2 linked regions of the Diceros bicornis minor genome follow. The protein of the gene in region 1 interacts with the protein of each later gene in a pairwise test. Links are inferred from orthologs where the notes say so. Each region holds a gene or a part of one and is shown in the gene's direction. Other genes may lie near its edges. The genes, in order: TCL1A and TTC33.

The links.
Region 2: the proteins of TCL1A (region 1) and TTC33 interact in binary tests that used the Homo sapiens proteins (3 or more experiments, as listed by UniProt). The two-hybrid records come from large-scale screens. The link is inferred for Diceros bicornis minor from reciprocal best matches to the Homo sapiens genes TCL1A and TTC33.

The regions. Positions count from the first base shown.
Region 1 is NC_080763.1:41,262,800-41,273,682, reverse strand, and holds the start of TCL1A (T-cell leukemia/lymphoma protein 1A), read left to right. Parts: upstream 1-5,775; 5' UTR 5,776-5,808; coding exon 5,809-5,928; intron 5,929-8,926; coding exon 8,927-9,097; intron 9,098-9,513; coding exon 9,514-9,570; 3' UTR 9,571-9,574; intron 9,575-10,076; 3' UTR 10,077-10,883. UniProt on the Homo sapiens protein: Enhances the phosphorylation and activation of AKT1, AKT2 and AKT3. Promotes nuclear translocation of AKT1. Enhances cell proliferation, stabilizes mitochondrial membrane potential and promotes cell survival.
Region 2 is NC_080759.1:29,126,619-29,137,233, forward strand, and holds the start of TTC33 (tetratricopeptide repeat protein 33), read left to right. Parts: upstream 1-6,131; 5' UTR 6,132-6,229; intron 6,230-6,301; exon of another isoform or gene 6,302-6,461; intron 6,462-8,817; exon of another isoform or gene 8,818-8,965; intron 8,966-10,615.

The DNA.
Region 1 (10,883 bases):
ACCCAGGCAGTGGCAGTGACAGCACAGAATCTTAAGCACTAGACAACCAGGGCTGGCTATATAAAATTTACATATAGTATATAGTATATGATATTTATATAACTCACATATAAAAATAAGTCCCACACCATGTTAATTGACTAAAATTCCGTTTAAAATATCCTTAAAACTGAAAAGCTAGGTCAAGAGATATTGTGTAAAGGGTACAGAGGGTGTTTTCAGCATGAAAGCTAAAAGCAGTCCATCGTCAACATATTTACCTCAGCTTACATCTGTTAGAAGCATAAAGACTATGACCTAATTTCCTAGACGGAATACAGAGCTATATGAAATATTTTTCTGAGGGGAAATTAATGCAATCAAATTAAATTAAAAAGAATTGAGGATGGAGCAGAACCAAGGTGATGCACAGCACCAGTAACACTGCGGGTAATAGCCAAAGTGTGGAAAAATCTCAGAGCTGAGAAATGTTTCTGATACTAATTTGGGTAAACTTTCACCTGCCTCTGGACAAATGGTATTACCGAACCAGGTTTGTTTTGCCTGCCCCCCAGAAAGCCAATCACTGAGATGATGAGATTGCGGAGAGAGGGTTTAATCACAAGGCAGCCATGTGAGGAAACGGGAAAATGAGTCTCAAACCCGCTTCCCCGAAAACAGGGACTCAAGGATATTTATCCGGAAGGGGGCAAGGTGGTCTGAAATGTGGAGATAGATGATTGGAGATGAGGAGAAGTGAGGTAATTGATGATCTGTGCAAGCATGGTTAGACTTCACGCCTCTTCATAGGATGCGTGTTCACAAAATGGTGGTGTTGGCATGACCCAAGGGTGGAGTTTTTAGCCTCTTGATGTCAAAAGGTCGCTTATCGGACATCTGTGTGGGCCCAGTTGATGGGTTGGTGGTCTCAACCGGCCTGAAGTGAACAAGGGGTTCTAATTCCTGAAAAACAGCTCAAACACCCATTACCATGGTGACCCAGGCTTCAAAGAGATGTCATCTATAGGAATCTAGTGGGAGTCAGATAGCATATTGCCTAAATAGCACAGTTAACGATGGGCGGGTAAACAGCTAAAAGCTATAGCCAGTAATTGCAAAAAGGACAAAGAACTTTAGTCTTTAGTCCCTAGCTACTTAATCATCAATGGCTAACTTTTTGCCGGTTTCAATGGGAGCCCCATTTTTAGCCCGCAGTGTCTTGCAATTCTGCTGCATGCTGCTTACTCCAGCATCAACTACCGGGTGCGTTTTAAGTAGGGGTTATGGGTGTGGTTTGCTTTTGCATTCTGTTTTGTCTGTGGGTTGGGTGAGTAGAGGGCCATGCTACTCAAGGTAGTTCACAGACCATCAGCCTCACCATGGAACTTGTTGGAAATGCGGAATCTCAAGCCTCCCCGAATCCTGCCCCCCGCCCCCGCGCCCACCGAATTAGAATCTGCATTTTAACAAGATGGCCATACATACCTTAAAGTTTGAGAAGCGCTTAAAACTTAAAGAAAACTCAGTTAAGTTTAAAGAGAGAGATAGTAGCTATGCAGTGGGCAAAGCTCTGTTCAGTCCCCGAGTTTTACTTAGAATATTCTTGTCCCAAATTCTCCATTCATCTAGAGATGAAATTTCCTCCTTTACGGGCAAAGTCTATCTCTTTTACTCTGAGCTCACTTGATCATCAGCCTTAATTATGTAAAATATGGCCCAGACCTAGGAATAATTAAAAAAACCACTCTAGGCAACTAGCACGGATGCCTTAACATCCACATTGCAGAGTTTCTGTGTTTTACACATTGGCGAGATCTCAGAACCTTACAATCCTAATATCTTGGTGTTATGGTTCCCTGCACACAAAAGATTGGAAGCAGCAAATTAAAAGTAGAACATAGAGAAAAAAGTAAAGTACAGGCTTGGGGTGAGGTTTATAGTGAGAATTGGTGGTAGAAAGAATAGCTTTAACATTTTCACGGTTATTTGGTTTTATAAATCTTGTTCACACTTCAAACCCACTAACTCAAATCTTAAAGAAGTGGTTCTCAAGGTTCGCTACACATTAAATCACCTGAGGACCCCCTTAAAAAAAAATGTAATGCTTAAGCCTCAGTCTCAGAGATTCTGGTCTAATTGGTCTGGGGTGGGGTCCAGGCACAGGTATTTTATAAAAGCTTCCTAGGTGATTCTAATTAGCAGCCAGGGTTGTGAGCCACTAGCTTAGTGGTTCAGGGCCATTCATTGTAGGGCCCAGAGGCCTGGATGCCTACGTAGCCCTGTATAGGCTCTTTACAGTGTGCTACAATCAAGGTTAGGATGACATTGGTACCAGGAGTTTCTTTTAAGAGGAGAATGCTTTATATATTAGAAATGATTTTGACAGAAAATAAAATAGCCTAGAGCGAAATGATACAGAAACGAATGTCCAACTCTTGTGTCATAGTTAGAGAAATCTAAAGGGAGCTGGTGGAATAAGGCAGACACCCACCATCTCTCTCCTGATCCTCCCCCTGTAGACCAATGGGATCTTGTTACAATGCAGATTCTGACTCTGTAGGTCTGGGGAGGGCTCGAGACTTTGCAGTTTTCATGAGCTCCAGATGATGCTCCAGGGACCATACCTAGGGCAGCAAGGCTGTAGTTCACACTGATGGCCATGACTCACCCTCGAGCCCCTTCTTTGGAACCCAAACAAGAAGGATGGCTTCCTCACTCTCGAAGAATGAATTCCATTGGGGTCCTTAATATCCAGAATCACTCTGCTCAAAACCATAGGCTTTCCTGAACTAATGTCATGAGTGTATCCATCTCTTCTCTTAATCGTTCCCTCCTCCCACTAGGCAACTTTATCAGGGGATCAGGGACTGTTGAGTTAGAAATGGGCTTAGAGACCATAGAGCTCGGCCCATTCATTACAAAAGCTTGGCAACGAGGCTGAGATGGCAAAGGGTGGCATATTTCACAGGTGAGAGTGGCAAAGTCAAAACTGGATCCAACTCAGGAGAAGAAAGCATCAGTTAAGGATTCTAGTAAAAAAATCAGTCAAAAATAATTGCTTTGTATTACTTTCTACATGCAACATCCGCTTGATTATCTCCATGGAGCTTGCAGACTAACAAAGAGTCAGAAAGGAATATACGACTCTAAAGCTAGGCTGACTGCCCTCAGAGCCCTAAGATGGGGCAGATAGCATGCTGGAGAGGCTCCCCTGCCTCTGAGACCACACAGCAGCTATTGTTTCCCCTCTCATGGAATTTCCATAAAGAAGGCTCAAGGCCTCCACAGAAGCTGCCCAATGAATTCCTCAGTCATCCTTATTTCACTTTTCATTTTTTGGAACTCCTTCTCAAATGATTTTCCAAATCCTACAAAGAATGACATATACTCTTGCTCAATATTAAGAAACCCTCATGTGAAAATGAAGAAATATAACATTCTTTCAAAGTAGGGGGGATCATCTTCCCAGGACATTCAGAAGGGAATCCAGCCAAATGGGTCTGATTCTTGCTCCATTATTTGTTTCTTTGTGCTGCTTAGAAAAGCAAAACAAGCGCTAATGAAATGGACAGGCCCAGTGGCATTCTGGATCCTGGAGCCATCTATGTGGCTGGGTCAGTTGGCCACACTGGCTCCTGGGTGCCCCCTTCCCTTGCCACAAAAGGCCATCCCAGAGGCACTGTTTAAGCTGGACTTGTTAATCATTTCTGACCTCAAAGCTCAGGACTCGGCTGAGACGTCTCCAACAGAGCATATTACCACAGTATCTTGCTCCCATTGGCTGTCTGGGTCTGGAATTAAGACCCATCCACAGGGAAATCACCCTGAAAGCCACAAGTCTGAATATCAAATACAAACACCACTAGGGGCTGCACTGGCAAAGAGGTTTGCTGGGCTCCTGTCTCCTCCCTCCACTCCCAACCTTACTTGGCTTTTGTCTTCTATTTTGTGTTCCTGGTAAATCCAATTATATGTCTATTACTGTAGGCCACCTCCGCACCTTGTTGGGAATTAGGCTGTCTGGATAGGCAGAGTAGCAGATACATTCCTTTGCTATCAGGGGATCAGGTGTTAGGCTCATTGTCACTTTCCTGACGTTTGAAAAGATCAATTATTTTCTTAGTGCCTAGTCAGAGAGATGGGGAAGAGCTGGAAGGCTAGGCAGCAGCAGCGGTGATGTTTGAGCAATGATGCTGAAGCTCGTTTACAAGTTTCTCATTGTACTTTATTTTCTTAATTGCCTTAATGCGCGTGTGTTACTCCAAAATGAAGTGAAATTGTTTTCCTTATTTGCTGTAATTTACAGAGAGGTTTGATCATGTAACCCAGGGACTTCAAATCCATTGATCTTGGGGTAGAGGGAGGGGTTTCTTTTTAAGTATTCCTTTTGAACCATGTTTTCACTAATGAATTCAAAGCCTATAAAGGGAAAAACCCATGTTTCTTCACCACCAAGTTTCACAATAGCTATTAGATGACCACAGCATCATCAAAGCCGTGGAAAATACATGTCTTGGGTGTGGGAGGGGGCGGGGGCTTCAAGAGTTGCACTTTGCCAAGGAAATTGATTCTGACACCCAAATCCACAGGCTGAAGGTGATGCTGTGAACCTGGCAAACACCAGGCCTGGTTCAGGTTTGCATGGATTTCTTCTGATCCCACAAGGTGTGGCGGGGGGCCCTGGCTCTGCGTCGTCTGGCGTCAGCTGTGAGTTCCAAGCAGAGGCTCGGAGTGCCGGTCTGGGGTGTGGCTTGACCAGCTGACTCGGACAGTGGGTCTGGGCGTCAAGGGGAGAGAAGGACGCTGGTGCCTCAGACAGAAGAAAGGACCAAGATACAGAACAGGGTACCTCCCCAGCAGTGGGGAATGGGAGGGGCGTGGAGGTGAGGCTGGCTGGCTGGGGTCCTTAAGGAAGTCCAGGGTCTGTTGGGCTGTGCCTGCGCTCCTAGACGCTGCCACGGTCCCAGGACATAAGTCTGGCCAGTGCTCAGGGCCAGCTCTGGACACTGCCCGGTCGCCCCACGTGCCACGCGCCCGCCCATCCTGCCTCGCGCCCAGCCCACGCGCCCCGCCCCACTACCTCGCGCCCCGCCCCACTACCCCGCGCCCCGCCCCACTACCCCGCGCCCCGCCCCACGTGCCCCGCGCCCCGCCCCACTACCCCGCGCCCCGCCCCACTACCTCGCGCCCCGCCCCACTACCCCCACGCCCCGCCCCACGTGCCCCGCGCCCCGCCCCACGTGCGCCGCGCCCCGCCCCACGTGCGCCGCGCCCCGCCCCACGTGCCCCGCGCCCCGCCCCACTACCCCGCGCCCCGCCCCACTACCTCGCGCCCCGCCCCACTACCCCCACGCCCCGCCCCACGTGCCCCGCGCCCCGCCCCACTACCCCACGCCCCGCCCCACGTGCCCCGCGCCCCGCCCCACGTGCGCCGCGCCTCGCCCCACGTGCCCCGCGCCCCGCCCCACTACCTCGCGCCTCGCCCCACTACCCCGCGCCCCGCCCCACGTGCCCCGCGCCCCGCCCCACGTGCGCCGCGCCTCGCCCCATGTGCCCCGCGCCCCGCCCCACTACCTCGCGCCTCGCCCCACTACCCCACGCCCCGCCCCACTACCCCGCGCCCCGCCCCACGTGCGCCGCGCCCCGCCCCATTACCTCACGCCTGGCCCTTTCGCACGTCCCACCTCGCGCCCCGCCCGCCTCCCCGCCCCACCGATTGGGGGCGCCCGCACGCGATCCCGCTATAAAGTGTCCAGGCCTTGCGTCCCACACACCAGCGAGAGGCCTGGAGAGGCTGCGGGTCTTGCGGCCTGGACCGCCCGAGGCGCCATGGGCGAGCTCCCGTTCTTCAGGGCGCACACTGCCTTTCACCCGGACCGCTTGTGGATCTGGGAAAGGGCCGTGTATGTGGACGAGAACCAGCGCACTTGGCTGCCCATAACCATCGAGGTATGGCCGCTTCGGGGCCAGGCCGGGCGGGGCAGCATGGGCGTCACCATCCCTGGCCCGGCCTGGGGAGCCAGAGACGTCCCAGGCCGCGCGAGGCCCTCCAGGAGCCCCTCAGAGGCGGCAGGGTGAGGGCGGTGGCGGGAAGGCTCAGAAGGCCTGATCCGCCCAGGGCGGCCAGGGGGCTCACAGATGAAACCACTTTGAGGTGGGCTGTGAAGGATGAGTAGGAGTTCTCCAGTTCGCTGGGAAGGAGGGTGGGGAAAAACACAAAGGCATGTTGGCCAAAGGATGGGGACCCATTGCCTCTGGAGTGTGTGAACATGATCTTGAGTAAAATAGGACTTGTCTGGGTTTGAGGGTCCTAAGCCATAAAATGGGAATAACATCTCTCTAAAGATTCATACACGTGGCTGATTATCAGAATCTCCTTAGGTAAGCCTCAGAAATCTGTGTTGTAAAAGGACCCTCAGACAGATTATGATCACCAATTTTGGGGACCACTGCCCTAGAGTTTGGGTTATTTCATATCTCCTCTATGCTTTGGAAAAAACAAACTTCACAAACAATACAGTAGGATAAAAGCCAGCATTGAATAAATGTTGACTTTGTCTTATGTGTGATGCCTTAAGATGGAGCTTTAGTTAACTTTTTTAAAGAAATATAACTCTCTTACAAGTACTTTCCACCAGAGCATAGATTTCCTCCAAGAAACTTAGGTGAAAAATGTTGAAACTCTTTCCATATATAAATGGAAGAAAGCATAAAAGCAAAATTTAAATACATAATATTAGAACATTTATGTGATATATTAGCAAACAGCAAAAAGTTATTGAGTAGTGCCTGTGTCCCCATTTTACAGATGAGGAAACTTGAGGCATAAAAATGTAATATTGTCCAAAGTAGAACTGCTAGTAGGTAATGGGCTTGGGGTTCCAGGTTCTTAACCACCATCTAAATTTGCATCTTTATTGAAATTCAAATTTTTTATGTATACATATATATACTTTTAAAAATCAAGTTAAATATTTGCTTTTTTTAAGTCAAGTATTTGAAGAAAATTTAAGTGACTATCTTTTTTTAATCTCTGGTTGAGGGGTATCTTCTTCAACATGACACTGAAACCACAGAGTTTTTCACATAATCATTATAAATTCTGCACAAAACATAACCCATTAGCAAACCCATTTGCCTCCTGTAACTGCAAAGACTAGTATTCTTAATATGTAAAGATTTACTTAGCCAGCCCTCGTGGTCTAGTGGCTAAAATTTGTAGTTCTCACCACCTCTGCTGGGGTTCGTTTCCCGGTCAGGGAACCACACTATCCATCTGTCAGTTGTCATACTGCGGTGGCTGTGTGTTGGTGTGATGCTGGAAGCTGTGCCACTGGGATTTCAAATACCAGCAGGGTCCGCCATGGTGGACAGGTTTCAGTGGAGTTTCCAGACTAGACAGACGAGGAAGAAGGACCTGGCCACCCACTTCTGAAAAATTGGCCATGAAAACCGTGTGAATAGCAGTGGAGCATTGTCTGATACAGCACCGGAAGGTGAGAGGATGGTGCAAAAAGACTGGGCAGGGTTCCGCTCTGCTATACAGAGGGTGGCTAGGAGTCGGAATTGACTCGAGGGCACTAACAACAACAAAGATTTACTTAAATCAATAAGAAAAAGATGAATAAGCAAACTAAAAATGGTTAAAGGATATAGAAGACTCTAACAGAGCAAGAATGGTGACTTCCACACTTATACTTTGCAGGATGATCAGAATTATTTTATAATAGTGAGTTCTAATTTATTTCATAGAAAATTTGAAATAACTATTTCCACTTTGGAAAAATAGTCATTGAACAAACAGGAATGCCTAGTTTATATGCCAAGCACGATTCTAGGCTGTGGGGGTTTGCAGTGACTGTGATAAAACCCCTCTACTTGTCAAGCTGACATTCGAGGCCAGTGGTTAGTTGTGTAGGAGAAGGAAAGTGGGATGAGAGGTGATCACGAGTGGTGTGGGGGCTTCAGGCAGGACCCCTGGGAGCTTAATTCGCATTTGCCTGTCATATTTTGCCCATGATTTTATTTGAAACCTTTCTGAACCTCTATTTTAGGCATGCCTCTCATTTATATCTTAGAGTTGGATTTTGCTGAAATTTGTCTTTCTAGACATACGGTTGAGCAGAGACCTGCCTAAAAGAAGGATGTGAGCCCTGTGTAGATCTAGGGGAGAATGTTCCAGGCAGAGGACACAGGTGCCAGAGCTTACTGGGAGTGTGGCACGTCCCAGAAATAGCGAGGGGGCCTGTGTGGCTGCACCGGGGTTGGGGGTGAAGGACAGGATGACAGGAGATGAAGGAGGCAGGGGCCCGGCTACGTGGGCCTGTGGGCTGTGGTAAAGATTCCAGTTCATTCTGCCTGCGATGGGAAGGCGTCGGACGGTGTCGAGCGGGGCAGTGACGTGATTTTTGGATGCACACCCTAGCTGCTGTGCAGAGACTTGATTGTGGGGCCCAAGACGAAGAAGGCAGCAAGTTAGGAAGTTATGGCGATAGTCCAGGCGAGAGATGATAGCAGAGGGGCAGTGGTGGAGATGGCGAAGAGTGGTCTCACCTGATTCTGGGGTCCGGGATATCTTGGGATATATGACAAAATAAAGAAAAATCAGAGAAAATCCATCAGCTGAAATAGCTAAGGAAACCGCATGGGTGAGGAAGCTCAGGGCCCCATGGCGTATCCTAGCAACTAGAAGTTTGTCAGGGAGAAGTGAGCCTTTGGTGGCCCTGTCTGGGTATCTGGACATGTGTGAGTGCTGGTCGTCCTGGCCCAGCCAGCGTCTCTGAGAAGAGCGTGCATGGCTTAAGGGATGGAGCCGTGGGAACTGTGATCACCGGCATCTCAGATGCCAGCCGGGCCGGGCGGGTGGCAGGAAGGACTCTGGTTATTTGTGCCTGGAGGAGCTCTGAGTGTGCCCTGACGGTGTGCCCTGCTCTTCTCTTCCCTTCAGATGGACAGCAGCCTGCAAGTACTCATGCGTCAGGAAGATATCCCCCTGGGGGAGCCGGTGCGCCCCAGCCAGCTCGGCCCGTACCTGCTGCCTCTCATGTGGCAGCTCTACCCCGGAAGAAAATACCGCGGCTCAGACTCCAGCTTCTGGCGCATAGTGTACCACATCGAGGCAAGCCTGTGCTTCTCCCAGGGACCCGTCGGGTCATCGTGGGTGGCCCTGCTCCCCACCCCCCCAATGCCTGGCCTCGGCAGTATATCTCTTCCCTCTGTCTCTGCACCAAAAGCTAAAAACAACTGGAGGGAATTGACAGCTGCAGATTTTGAGAGGACCGGATTAGAGAGACGGTAGAACTGAATGACCAGGTCACTCTCTGGGGTCTCTACCAGAAGCCCCGTCCGCCACATGAAGGCCTCTCTGGTGGGCACTCGGGGTGAAGGCTGGTGGGAGGAGGGAAAGTCTCCCGAGGGCCTCTGGAATCCCCCCATGCAGGTTGCCACCTGCTGCTCCAAGCTTGTGGAAGGCCTGGGAGCCAGGAAGGGAAGAATTCCCAGGGCTCTGGTCTCTAATTTCCTTCTCTCTCGCAGTTGAGTGGCATAGAGGATATGCTCCTTGAACAGCTGCCAGACCCGGATAATGAGTGACGTGGTGAGCACCGTGGGGCCCCATACCTTTTAGTCCAGCGTGGCCAGGTCACAAAGAAGGCACACCCTTTCTCCCTGCAGGCAGTGCTGACCCCGCCCCGACTGTGCTGCCCTGGGTCCCGAGGGCTGGGGACCCAGGCTCCCTCCTCTACCACCTTAGGAGCCAATCCTTTTTAGGCAGCCCCCTTAACAACAGAGGCACACATCAGCACAGCGCTTCACAGGTTACGGCGTGTCGCTTGATTGTCACATCAGCTGAGCTAGGTAGTACTTGATTTTATAGGTTACAGAAATGAGTTTTGAGGAAGGACAATGACTTGCCCAGGTCACAGAGCCAGGTTTCAAATCCAGGTCTAGTGGCACCAAGCTGCTCGCTCTGTTCACAGTCTGCCCTCCTCAGCTCCGGGGCCAGCATTGACCACCCGGCAGCTCTGCTCCCGCCCCTCGCCTCTGCCGGGTCCTTCCCTTTGCCCTGACTCTTGTCTTGTCTTGTCCTCCTGCCCCAGGTCCCACGGTTCCTGTCTCCCTGAGGCCCCATCCTGCTGGCCTGCAGTGGGGATGTTCGAGCTTGTGTTCACCTGTTTTACCAGCCCTGTGTTCTGCTCTGCCACACCCGGGTCTGGGAGGGAATGGACGGGCAGAGGATGAGCCCCACCCAGGGCCTGCTGGACCTGCCTGCACCCCTCCACCCTGGTGTCCCCTGGCAGACTGGCACTGGAGAGGACCTTGCTCGGTATAGCTTCCTCCAGGTGCCCCGGCTATACCTGAGCCTCGGGTTTTCTCAGTTGCCTGACAGTTCTTGGCCTCTCTCTATTCTGTCCCTCACAGCAACTAGTGTCTTGTGCTGCTCACCCGGGGCTGCTTTTCTTCCTGTCCCTCAGCTCTGTGTACCTCTGGCTGCAAGGGAATAGGGCCTACTCGCCTGGGCCTGGGCCAGGCCTCTGAGCCCCTGGACCAGCTATCTCATGTGGCACATGCCTGCACACAGCCCCACCTGCCCAGCAGGTTCAGGTGCAGTTCACGGGAAGGCCTGCGAGGAGCCCAGGTCTTTGCTCAGGACACAGAGCCTGCTGGTTAAAGGTCCAGAGCCCGGCACATAGCAGGAGGCCAGGCAAGCGAGCACTGGAGACGGGCCCTCAGGTTGCCCACCTGTAGAAGGACAGAGGTTGGAGGTCCTCCCTTTTACAGGTGCCCACACACCTGGATGTTATGAAGTTGTATATAGTGTGAACACTTTGTAATGTTGATTGATTAAATGTAAGACAATTCATCTAACTTTGTGCTGAATCAGCTTCTATCCTTGACCTAGATTC
Region 2 (10,615 bases), on another chromosome or scaffold:
TTTTGGAATGCAATTTGCACAGGGATTGGAATGTGATTAATAGTTAAAAGCCTAATGTGCAAAAATGAATTAAGATAATTTTGTTGTTCATTGTTGAGTAGGCATATAGCATAATATAATATACACAATGAATTATAGGACTCTCAGGCTCGCTTGATTTTTGGCTATTTTATATTTAGTGTACACAGGGCTTTGTAGAATATTAATTTACCATAAAGGCCTTGATATATTATTACATGTTGATGTGTTATATATTTGCTTCATAAATGTATTCAATAAATATTTGCGTAGAATCCCCAGAGACCTTTATAGATGATTTTGTTTTCTGAGCTCCTTAACTTCTTGAATAGCATCTATCTTCCAACAGTAGGGACAGTCTGGATGACTCTTCCATATCTCCCCTTAATATTCTGTAGTATATGGTAAGTCACATCAAAGGTTTTAGACACAATTAGAATTTTTTCTTTAGCTTGGTAAGTCCAAAAACACACAGAACTTATATATTCAGATACTCTAGGCAGTAAGTTTAATCTTACAACTTGTCCCACTCTATTCTGTACATAAATTGCTGTTTTTGTCACAAGAGCTGAGTTGCATATACTGTACGTAAATCATCTTGTTTTTGCCAGTCTCACAAATTCTGCTGCTTATCATGTCAGCCGGTATTGAATGTATGTAGAAATTTCTAGCATTCGATTATGTATCTTTTAAATTGATTCAGTGCACAGAAAGCACATCTCTTACAAACTGTTTAAACGCTCAGATAAGACTTTTTCTCCCAAATTTTATCATGAACATTCTTAGAAAAATTGAAAGTCTGAAGGGTGATCACATGTGTATCTACCACTTAGATTCAATACTTAACATTTTTCCATATTTGCTTTGTCTATATCTGTGTATATAGATATAGTTATACACATATATGCTTGTATATATATGCTGTTCCCCCCCGAGCCATTTGGATGTTGCAGACATACTCATCACCCCTCAACATTTCAAGCATCTCCCAAAAATGATGACATTTTCCTAAAAAACCATAACACCATTATAAAATTAATAATTCCCTAATGTCATCTAATCATGCATATTTAGATCTCCCCAGTTGTCCTCCAAATTTCTTTTATAGTTGGTTATTTCAAACTAGGATTCAACTAAAGTTTACACATTGCATTTGGTTATGTCTCCTTAGATATGACATTATTATTCTGATAAAATATGGAACAAATCGGTTAGTTCTTCTAGATGGTCACATTTGTTTTGGATTTTAAGTACTTTTTAAAAAGTAGGATTATGAGAACTGCCTAAAGATGCTTAATCTTCCTAAGATCTCTGATTCGTATTTTCTTTTTCTTGCTCTTAGTAATAGCATTACATAATAGGTGTAAATGAAGATTTAAAGTCACCTCAGATAAAATTGGTATCATGTATGCTAATAAAAAATAAAAAAACCACTATCACCCATAATTGCCTTATACTATTTTAACTTCAAGAAATTGATTTTTTTGGGGGGGGATATTAATCATTTTTCCATTGCAACAGAGCTATCTTTTGTTCTCTTTTAAGACTCTGTATTATAGGATTGGTTTGGGAAATCCAGTGAGCACCCATGTAACCAGACAGTAATGTACTCAAATGTCATGATAGCTTGCATAAATAATTACTGTAGTTGTAGATTTGGCTCCAGCACCTCTAGAAACATGCACTGAATTTAAAAGAAAAATGTTTTTTCTTTTTTGTCTGGGGCTTGTTCTCTTCAACTTTAAATCGGAAAGCTGTATAAATTAATAGAGGAGTTCCATTTAAATATAAGTTCAAACTGTATTTATAATTTGTGTGTGGCCCTCTGTTTTGGGGATATTGATTTCATGTAGGGTCTCTAAATGCAGCATTTTGTTCCTGCTGTTAAGAACAGAAGACTGTATTTTTAAAGTTACATATTTGTATATAAAACTAAGACATCGCCGTAATGTCTCTATTAGCTGTTAAGGGGAGGGGGGAACTAAAGGAGGAACCAATTAAATAGGACCTTCTAAAAATTGTTAATTTTGTAAACTTTGCTTCTTTTTTAAGTTATTGTGATTCCTTTTAGTTACTGAGTTTTATTTTGAAGATATTTAAATATTGCACTTGTACAAATAGTATAAATGCACAGACTATTGCAGTAAATTCTTTTTTAAGCTGGGATATTTGAAATGATAACTTTTGGTTGAGTGTGTCAAGGTTGCATCAGAATTTTCACAAATTTATTGTAGTTTGCAAATTCTTATTAAGTGAAGATATAAGAGAGTCAATGCAAATGATTTTTAATCTTTTTTTATTATCTTTTCAGCAATTTATATTTTTTGTGATTTTATGCAACCATATTTTTACTTTGTCTTGACAACTGAAAGATGTATAAGGTTTTTGCCAGAAATGTACTGTATACATAGTTTTAAATATAACAGATTTTACTGATATGTAAAAATTTTGCCATTAAAATAAATGATTTCTCACTGAGAGGAACTTTTCTACCAGGTTGCGGGATATGGGAGCTTAATATATCATATCTAATTTAAAATAATTTCACTGAAATAAACTCCATTGCTTTTACTTTGATGATATTTTCTCTTGAGATGCTTTTGTAGTTTTTCAGAGTTTTAAATGATTTTCTACAAAAAGTCCTGCCCTCTGCCCTGCCCACCCCCCACCCTTTTGACCTTGTAGTAATACCATTTACGTTGAATTAATGTTGGGTGGACTGTGGCTGGATGTAGAATTTCATGCATCTATACTCTGGCACCTTTGGAATGAAAGAAAAATGTGTGTCGTTAAAATCTTTTCCCCTTAATTCCTTCCATCTCCCTCATCCACAATAAAAATCTCATTTTTGTTGTGAGTTCTGACGAGATGAATAAAATTCCACATACAATATAACTAAATTGGTAGTAGGGTAGAAATCGATCTTTGTGGTACAATATTTCTGAGACGTTCATGGATGTTTTGACTGGAGTATATCTAAGTAGACAATTTCAAATAATTTGATTTAGAAAGTGGATAAAAAAGGAAAACATTTTTCATCTGTTACAGTGTGCTTAACTTTTTTAACTTCTGGAAAAACAATGAAAAAAAGAAAGCTCTTGTTCATGGCTGACCATCTGCATCTTTTTAACAATGTGCCTAAATATAAAATATAGTGCTTGAATAAATTTTAGCACTCAAACATTGTGACTTTTGTCTCAACTAAGTTAAGTTTAATTTCATCTAAAAATTAGCCAACTGAACAAAATATTAATATATGTACAATAAAAACCAAAGCGGTTACCATGTCTCTGGGTGCTAACACTGGATTTGGTTGGAATTCCACTATGTTAGAATCCAATTAGCGTGAAATCTTCCATCCCGTCTGGCACTGTTAGGCAGGCTTGTGCTAGATTGTTGGCATTCTAAATCCTTAAAATAGCTTGATAATTGTAAGAAAAGAAAATAGTACTAAAGAGTGTTAATTAATAGCACATAAGATTGTTCTTTAGAGAACTTATAAATTGCTCTAAGTATTTACCCTGACTGTAGAAAATTGTACAAGAAGTTCTCTTGTTTGAAAAATCAATATTTATTGAACTGTTCTATTTATTGTAAACAAATGGACTGTTCTATTTATTGTGACTGTCAATAAATGTTAACTATGATAGATTTAGAAGATTTCTAGCAATTTGGAAGATGATCATGTTGTCTATAAACAGACAGCATGGGAAATGTATTAAATACATCATCAGGGACATCAAGATCAGAGACCAAAGTAAGTAGAGAAGTGGTGGGTGAAGTGTGAAAATGTACAGTTTGGAGATAGACTTTACCAGAATAGGATGGATCAAGGTTAAATTATTTGAGAGATTTAGGAAAGACCCCTCGAAAGGGGTACATCTTCAAGCACTACTTAATAACTCACTCTGCAAACTATATCCCCTCAAAAGGCTACTATGAACCAAACACTATGAATGTGACCATAAGGCATAAATTCTGCTCTGAGTGTCTGGTTAGGGAGACAGATATTTTTAAAGACTTTCATAGAGGTACGTACAGAAAAGTGCACAAATCATAACTGTTTGGCTCAATGAATTTTCAGTGTATTTAGGTTTGCAGTGAACATGGCCATGTAAACCTCTACCCAGATTAAGAAACATTGCCACCACCTTAGTGTTTTTTATAATTAATATACATATCCTGTAGGTAACAGAACAACTCTGGTATGATGTGGGAAGGATCTGCACAGTGTGAATGCTGGGAGTAGGGATCATAGGAGGCTATCTTGGAAGCTGGCTACCACAATCATGCATTGATCATTTTGAAAATACTGGTTCATTTATGGAGCTCTTACAAATGTTGATGCATTTAATCTAACAATATAAATAAAAATCACATCTGGTGTCACCACTGATCTCATCAGAAAAGTCTGGAAGTATTGGGAAGCTGTCAAGATCATTATGGCAAACAAGTTTTCCAAAATCATAATTTTTGCTTAAATTCTTGAATTTTACCAGTGGCAACACTGTCACTTGTTTTTCTTGAGGTAACAGACTCCCTTTGTTCATTTTCAAGAAAAGTTTTGTCAAATACCCAAGTCTGAATTAGTTGGTCTGTCAGTCGTTCTTCTGAGTAAAAGTTATATTCCACGAAAAGAGTATTTACTTCAGTTTATAATGCAGTCTCACAAGTGCTTTTACTGGAGACATCATGCTTCAACATACAGCAGAAATACTTTATGAGTACTTCCCATTTTGTCATACAGAATATTAAGAAGGTCAAGGGTCATTTTATTTATTTTTTTTATAATGTTATTTATTTATTTTCCCCCAAAGCCCCAATAGATAGTTGTATGTCATAGCTACACATCTTTCTAGTTGCTGTATGTGGGACACGGCCTCAGCATGGCCAGAGAAGCAGTGCGTGGGTGCATGCTGGGGATCCAAACCCAGGCCGCCAGCAGCGGAGCGCGCGCACCTAACCGCTAAGCCACAGGGCCAGCCCTGGAGGGTCATTTTAATAAAACAGTTTTTACTGCTTCATCAAGGACATTCTTGAGTGACGGTATTTTTTTCCCTGCTACGAGTGTGTGGTGGTGAAGAATACAATGGCTTCTAGTACAGTTTGGTATCGTCTTAATTTGTGCTGAGGCACCAGCAGTTTTGCCCACCACTGCTTTTCCACTATCAGTGCAAATGTCAACATTGTGAAAAAGGCAAATGATGTCTTCCTATTAGTATGAAAATAGTTTTGACTTTTGAAAAGGTCTTGGTTACCCTCTGAGGTCTGAGAATCATTGGTTCACATCAGCGGTTCTCAATGGGGCAGGGGTGGTGCGATGATTTTTCTTCCAGGGGCATTTGGCAACGTCTGGAGACATTTTTGGTCGTCACAACTTGTGATGGTGGTGGTGGTAGTGGATGCTAAAGACATCTAGTGCATAGAGACCAGGGATGCTGCTAGACAGCCTACAGCACACAGCAGAGCCCCTCTTCCCCCAACAAAGAATTAGCCGGTTTGAAATGTTACAGTGCTGAGGTTGAGAAAGCCTAGTCTACGAAAATGGTCTTCCTTTGCACAAGATAGCTACCTTGATAAGTTAACAATCTTAATTTTTCCATTTCCTAAACACTTTCCTGGGTTACATTTCCCCACTTTATTTTCAAGACATGAGCCACAGCCATTTTCAGGCCATAATTCTCTCTTCTGGGTCCAACTGATATGTTTTTCCGACGTGAAGCCTACAATTCAACCACGGCCCTCTCTGATCGGCTCCCCTGAACCCATTTTCAATCGAGTTTTGCGTCTGTCCTCCGCATCTGCTCGGCCTCATCAGCTAGGTTGTCAACTCTTTCAGAGCACGCCCCCGCCTCGACTGCTTTACCCGCTGACTGCGTGAGCCGCGCGGTTTGTCCGGGACTCACTCCCTCCGCGCGCACCTCAGCCCGCGCAGCCGCAGTTTCTCGTGTCTCTGCATTGCGATCGCCCACGCGGCCGACGCTTCGGGCTGCTGCTAGAGGGCGCTCCGGGCCGCGGTGGTCCGAACTACAAATCCCAGAGGGTAACAGGGATGGGGGCGGCCGCGGTGACTTTTGGGAGTTGTGGTCCCGGGGAAGAGACTGGCATGAGACAAAGGCTCTGAGACTCGCCTCTTCCTCGCCCGCTTCTCTGCACGGTTCGGAATCCGTGGGTCGGGCAACTTCATTTCTTGAGAGACCAGGCGCCCAAGGTAAGCAAGCAGGATGTTGGACATAATTTCCGTTTCCGGTGGGCAAAGGTCAAGCGGAATGTAAACACGGGACTTGGGGAGTGGTTATCAGGTAACTGGGGTTACTCGGTGCGTGGTGAAAGCCGGAGGAAGAGACGCAAACGAGGCGAGTGGGTTTGTGGTCGGGGGAGAAAGGAGCTTCAGAAGTCGGAGGTGAGATTCAACCACACTGTGGCAGAGTCGGGACACTAAGGTTGGTCTCTAGGGACGAGCACGTCTGGGGGTCGGGCCGCCCATGCCCCCGCGCCTGGGGCGGCTGCCGCACTCCGTAGGCTGACCGTGCGGCTTGGATCTCTCCGTAGCGCTGGGAGGGCGGATCCCAGCCTCTTTCCACCCCTCCTTGGTGGTGTCTGTGGCGGAGGGCGGGGCTGGGGAACTCTCAGGTGACGTCCAGGGCAGCCTGTATGAACTTCGCACATTTTTATTGTTATGGAAAATGAAGGAAAGTCGCCAATACTGGTTTCTGTTGCGGTGATATTTTCGGGCCCATTGTTTCTTGAATTCCTCACTTCTGAATACATCCCTGTACCCGGAAGGATGCTGTTTTGATTTCCTGATCGTATTCCTCCAGTGGTTTCTCGCCTGGGGTGCTGCATCCTCCGACGCAGTGAAGACAGGCATTCTCTCTGGCTTGTGGCTGGGTAAACGGTCACAATTTCCATAGACAGTAATTGAGCGCTACTATAGGGATCATTGTACCAGCAAAAGAATTTAGAATACAACGTCGTTGTTTAGAATTTTCATGGCATTCACTAACTGTAATTCTATATAAAATGAATTTGTGTTGTTTCATGAGTTTAATATGAATCCCATATGATTATGATTTACCCGTATGATTTCTTATCCTGGTGAAAAAAAATGTAAAGGTTAGGATATTGATGCCTTGTGCATCTAACTATGGATTCAGGAAAGCCTTCTATATAAGAAGTTTTAATTTCATGTTCAGATAGCTTTAGAGGAACAATAAACTCGTACTGTTTAAGATATCTGAATCAACTCGGGGTGTTAAAAGTTCTGAGGCAGGAAGTGTTTTGCATATGTTCTGGAACGCACCGTCCTTTCAAACCTAGCTAACTTATTCTTCGAAACTTATCCCTTCAGGAAGCATCAAGTGTCTCTTCTCTGACGTCGTAACATCTTTTGTTTACTCTCTAATTGCACTTAAGCTGTATTGTGTTGACTATACTCTTGTGGTCTCCAGACAATTTTGAAGAAAATATAAAACTGTAAAAATATAAAACTAATGGCCTTGGTAGCAGTTTCGTGCTTTTTACCCTTAGTGGGCCCTTGATATTGTTTGATATCTTTACTCATCCCTTGTTTCACTTTTCCTGTACTCCACAATGACTATTTCAGATCTTTTCTATTCTTCTCAAGTGCTCAAATCTATTTCTTTTCCCTTTAGTTGGAGCAGAGGACTAGCCTTCTATTTCTCGGAGAAATGTGAAGCTTAGGGGTGTAAAATCCTGTATTTTCTCTTCCCTCTACCCTTGAACTTGCTTATACTTTTCACTCAGTATCAACTCTTGTCTGAGAGGAAAATATTCCTGTCTCTGTCTTTAAGGCTAAACTTGTCAGTTGCTGGTGGTCATCAGGCCTTTTATACCCCTATAACTTCATTCTTTCCTAACCTCCAACAGCCTCTGATTTCTAGAAGATTTTAAAGTATTTGTGGAGGAGAATGGCAGAAACACCCGAGGCAGCAGTGTGTGTGGCTTTTTTGTACATGGTTGAGAACCACTGTCTGGGGCCTTAACCTGTACCTGTCCTCAGCATTTATAGCAATGGTTTGGGTTGGAGGGTGGGGAGGGTATTGGGAGTCTGAATGACCTATTCGCTTTTTTAAAAAATACATGTGGGTCTGTCTGTCCCTTTTTCCTTTCCTCCCCACCCTGACCCGTGTTCCCAATAGTCTACAGACCTGACCAATGAGTTCAAATATAATTTGCTTTAGTAAACGCACCAGATTTCCATCTGTATTAGTAGGGTTCTCGCACTGCCTGGTGCCTCACATTGCTGATTTAGAAACAAAGTTCCATTTGAAACTTGAAGACGGAAAATGTAATCATCCTCATTCTTGTCACCTTTAAGGACAGTCATAAATACAAGACTTCTTAACTTGACTTATCCTGAGATCTCGTGAGACTTTCCTAACGATCCGTTCTATCACAGTCTCACTCTGTGCCTCTGGACTTCTGTTCCATATTAACCACACTTCCATTTTCAGCCATTTCTTGGGTCTTCCCCTGAGTTACATGTAGTCATCTTCAAACATAGGAAACTCATTCTCCTCTATTTTAATGGGTCTGGAGAGAGAGTGTGGCATTGTCCTAATTCCTTAGTATAGTTTATAATCCATTACTTCTCCAGGTTTTTCTAAAAATCCCTCTTCCTGTGGAAAGCATATGGTTCACCCGTGTCAGCCTGTACGTTTCTTTCTTTCTTTCTTTTTTTTTTTTGTGAGGAAGATTAGCCCTGAGCTAACAACCAATGCCAATCCTCCTCTCTTTGCTGAGGAAGACTGGCCCTGGGCTAACATCCTTGCCCATCTTCCTCTACTTTATATGGGACACCACCACAGCATGGCCTGATAAGCAGTGCGTCGGTGCACGCCCGGGATCCGAACTGGTGAACCCCGGGCCGCGAAGCGGAGTGCGTGTGCTTAACTGCTGAGCCACCGGGCCGGCTCCTCAGCCTGTACGTTTCTTGATTGTTGTAACTTGTTGGCACTTCCTCATATTCATTAAGAAATTAGGCATATGGCCCACAATTTTCTTATCCTTCTAAGTTCTGCCATTATTCTGGGCCTTTCCATGTGAATGAACTCACAGCTGCCCTCACTTTTTTTGTCCCCTTCCTTCTAGTGATTACTTACACTTTACTTCAGCCATATGCATCAGTGATGAAGATCCTGATATCTGCTAGAACTTACTGTTTCATTTCTCTCGTCCCTTACTCCCGTAATGCTCATTCTTTGATAGTTTTATGAAGACCTCTGGTTCATTGCTTTTGCTTACCCCTCTAATTGAGCTAGCCAGCCTTGGTGGTCTAGTGGTTAAGACTCAGCACTCTCACTGCTGCAGCCGAGGTTTGTTTTGTGGTCAGGGAACCACACCAACCGTCTATTGGTTGTCCTACTGTGGTGGCTGCATGTTGCTGTGATGCTGAAAGCTATGTCACCAGTATTTCAAATACCAGCAGGGTCAGCCATGGTGGACAGGTTTCAGCGGAGCTCTCAGACTAAGACAGACTAGGAAGAGGGACCTGGCCACACACTTCCAAAAAAATTGGCCGTGAAAACTCTATGGATAGCAGTGGAGCACTGTCTGATATAGCGCCAGGTGAGAGGATGAGGCAAAAAAGACTGGGCAGGGCTCCACTAGGAGTCAGCACTAACAGCAGTTAGTTGATCAGTGAGTTGGGGTCATAGACTTCTTTAGGAATGGAATGAAAGCTTAGACACTCTTCTCCAGAGTGCACACAGGCATGTAAAAATTTATATATAATTCCAGGGAGTTCTCAGTATCTTTAAGGCCATCCATGTAAGTAGTAAGAGTTCTTGGATCCCTCAGTAAATCCCTTCTCTTAATAAATATTTGTTGAATTTTTCCAGGGTTTCCTTTAGCTTTGTTCCATCAATTATCTTCTCTTTCTAACCCTTGCATTTGTATATCATTGCAGATTTATAAAGCAATTTAACATTTATTAAATTGTTAATAAACAATTATTTGTTTTATTAATAACACAAATAATTGTGTTATTAATGGACACCAAAGGTAAGCAGGCCCCAATAGTTCTGTGAATTAGGTCATTTACCAAGTTTGAATATTTAAAAAATTTTTTATTATGGAAGATTTCAAACATACATGAAAAAAGAGAGAAAAGTACAAGGAATCCTATGTACTCATCACCTAACTTCATTCACTGTCAACTCCTAGCAATCTTTTCATCTATATTTCTCCTTTACTGCACCCTCCCCCCACCCCCCGCTGATTACATTGAAACAATTCCTAGGTATGTAATTTCATGTGAAATATTTTAGTATGTATTCCTAAAAGATAAGGGTTTTTTTTCTTTTTTTGTTTTTTGCAGGGGAAGATTCTCCCTAAGCTAACATCTGTTGCCAGTCTTCCTCCCTTTTTCTTCCTTTTTCCGCCCCAAACTCCCAGTATGTAGTTGTATATGGTTGTAGATTCTTCTAATTCTTCTATGTGAGCTGCCACCACAGCATGGCTACTGACAGATGAATGGTGGTTCCGCTCCCAGGAACTGAACCCAGGCCACAGAAGCGGAATGTGCTGAACTTCAACTGCTAGGCTGTCAGGGCTGGCTCTAAGGTTCTTTTAA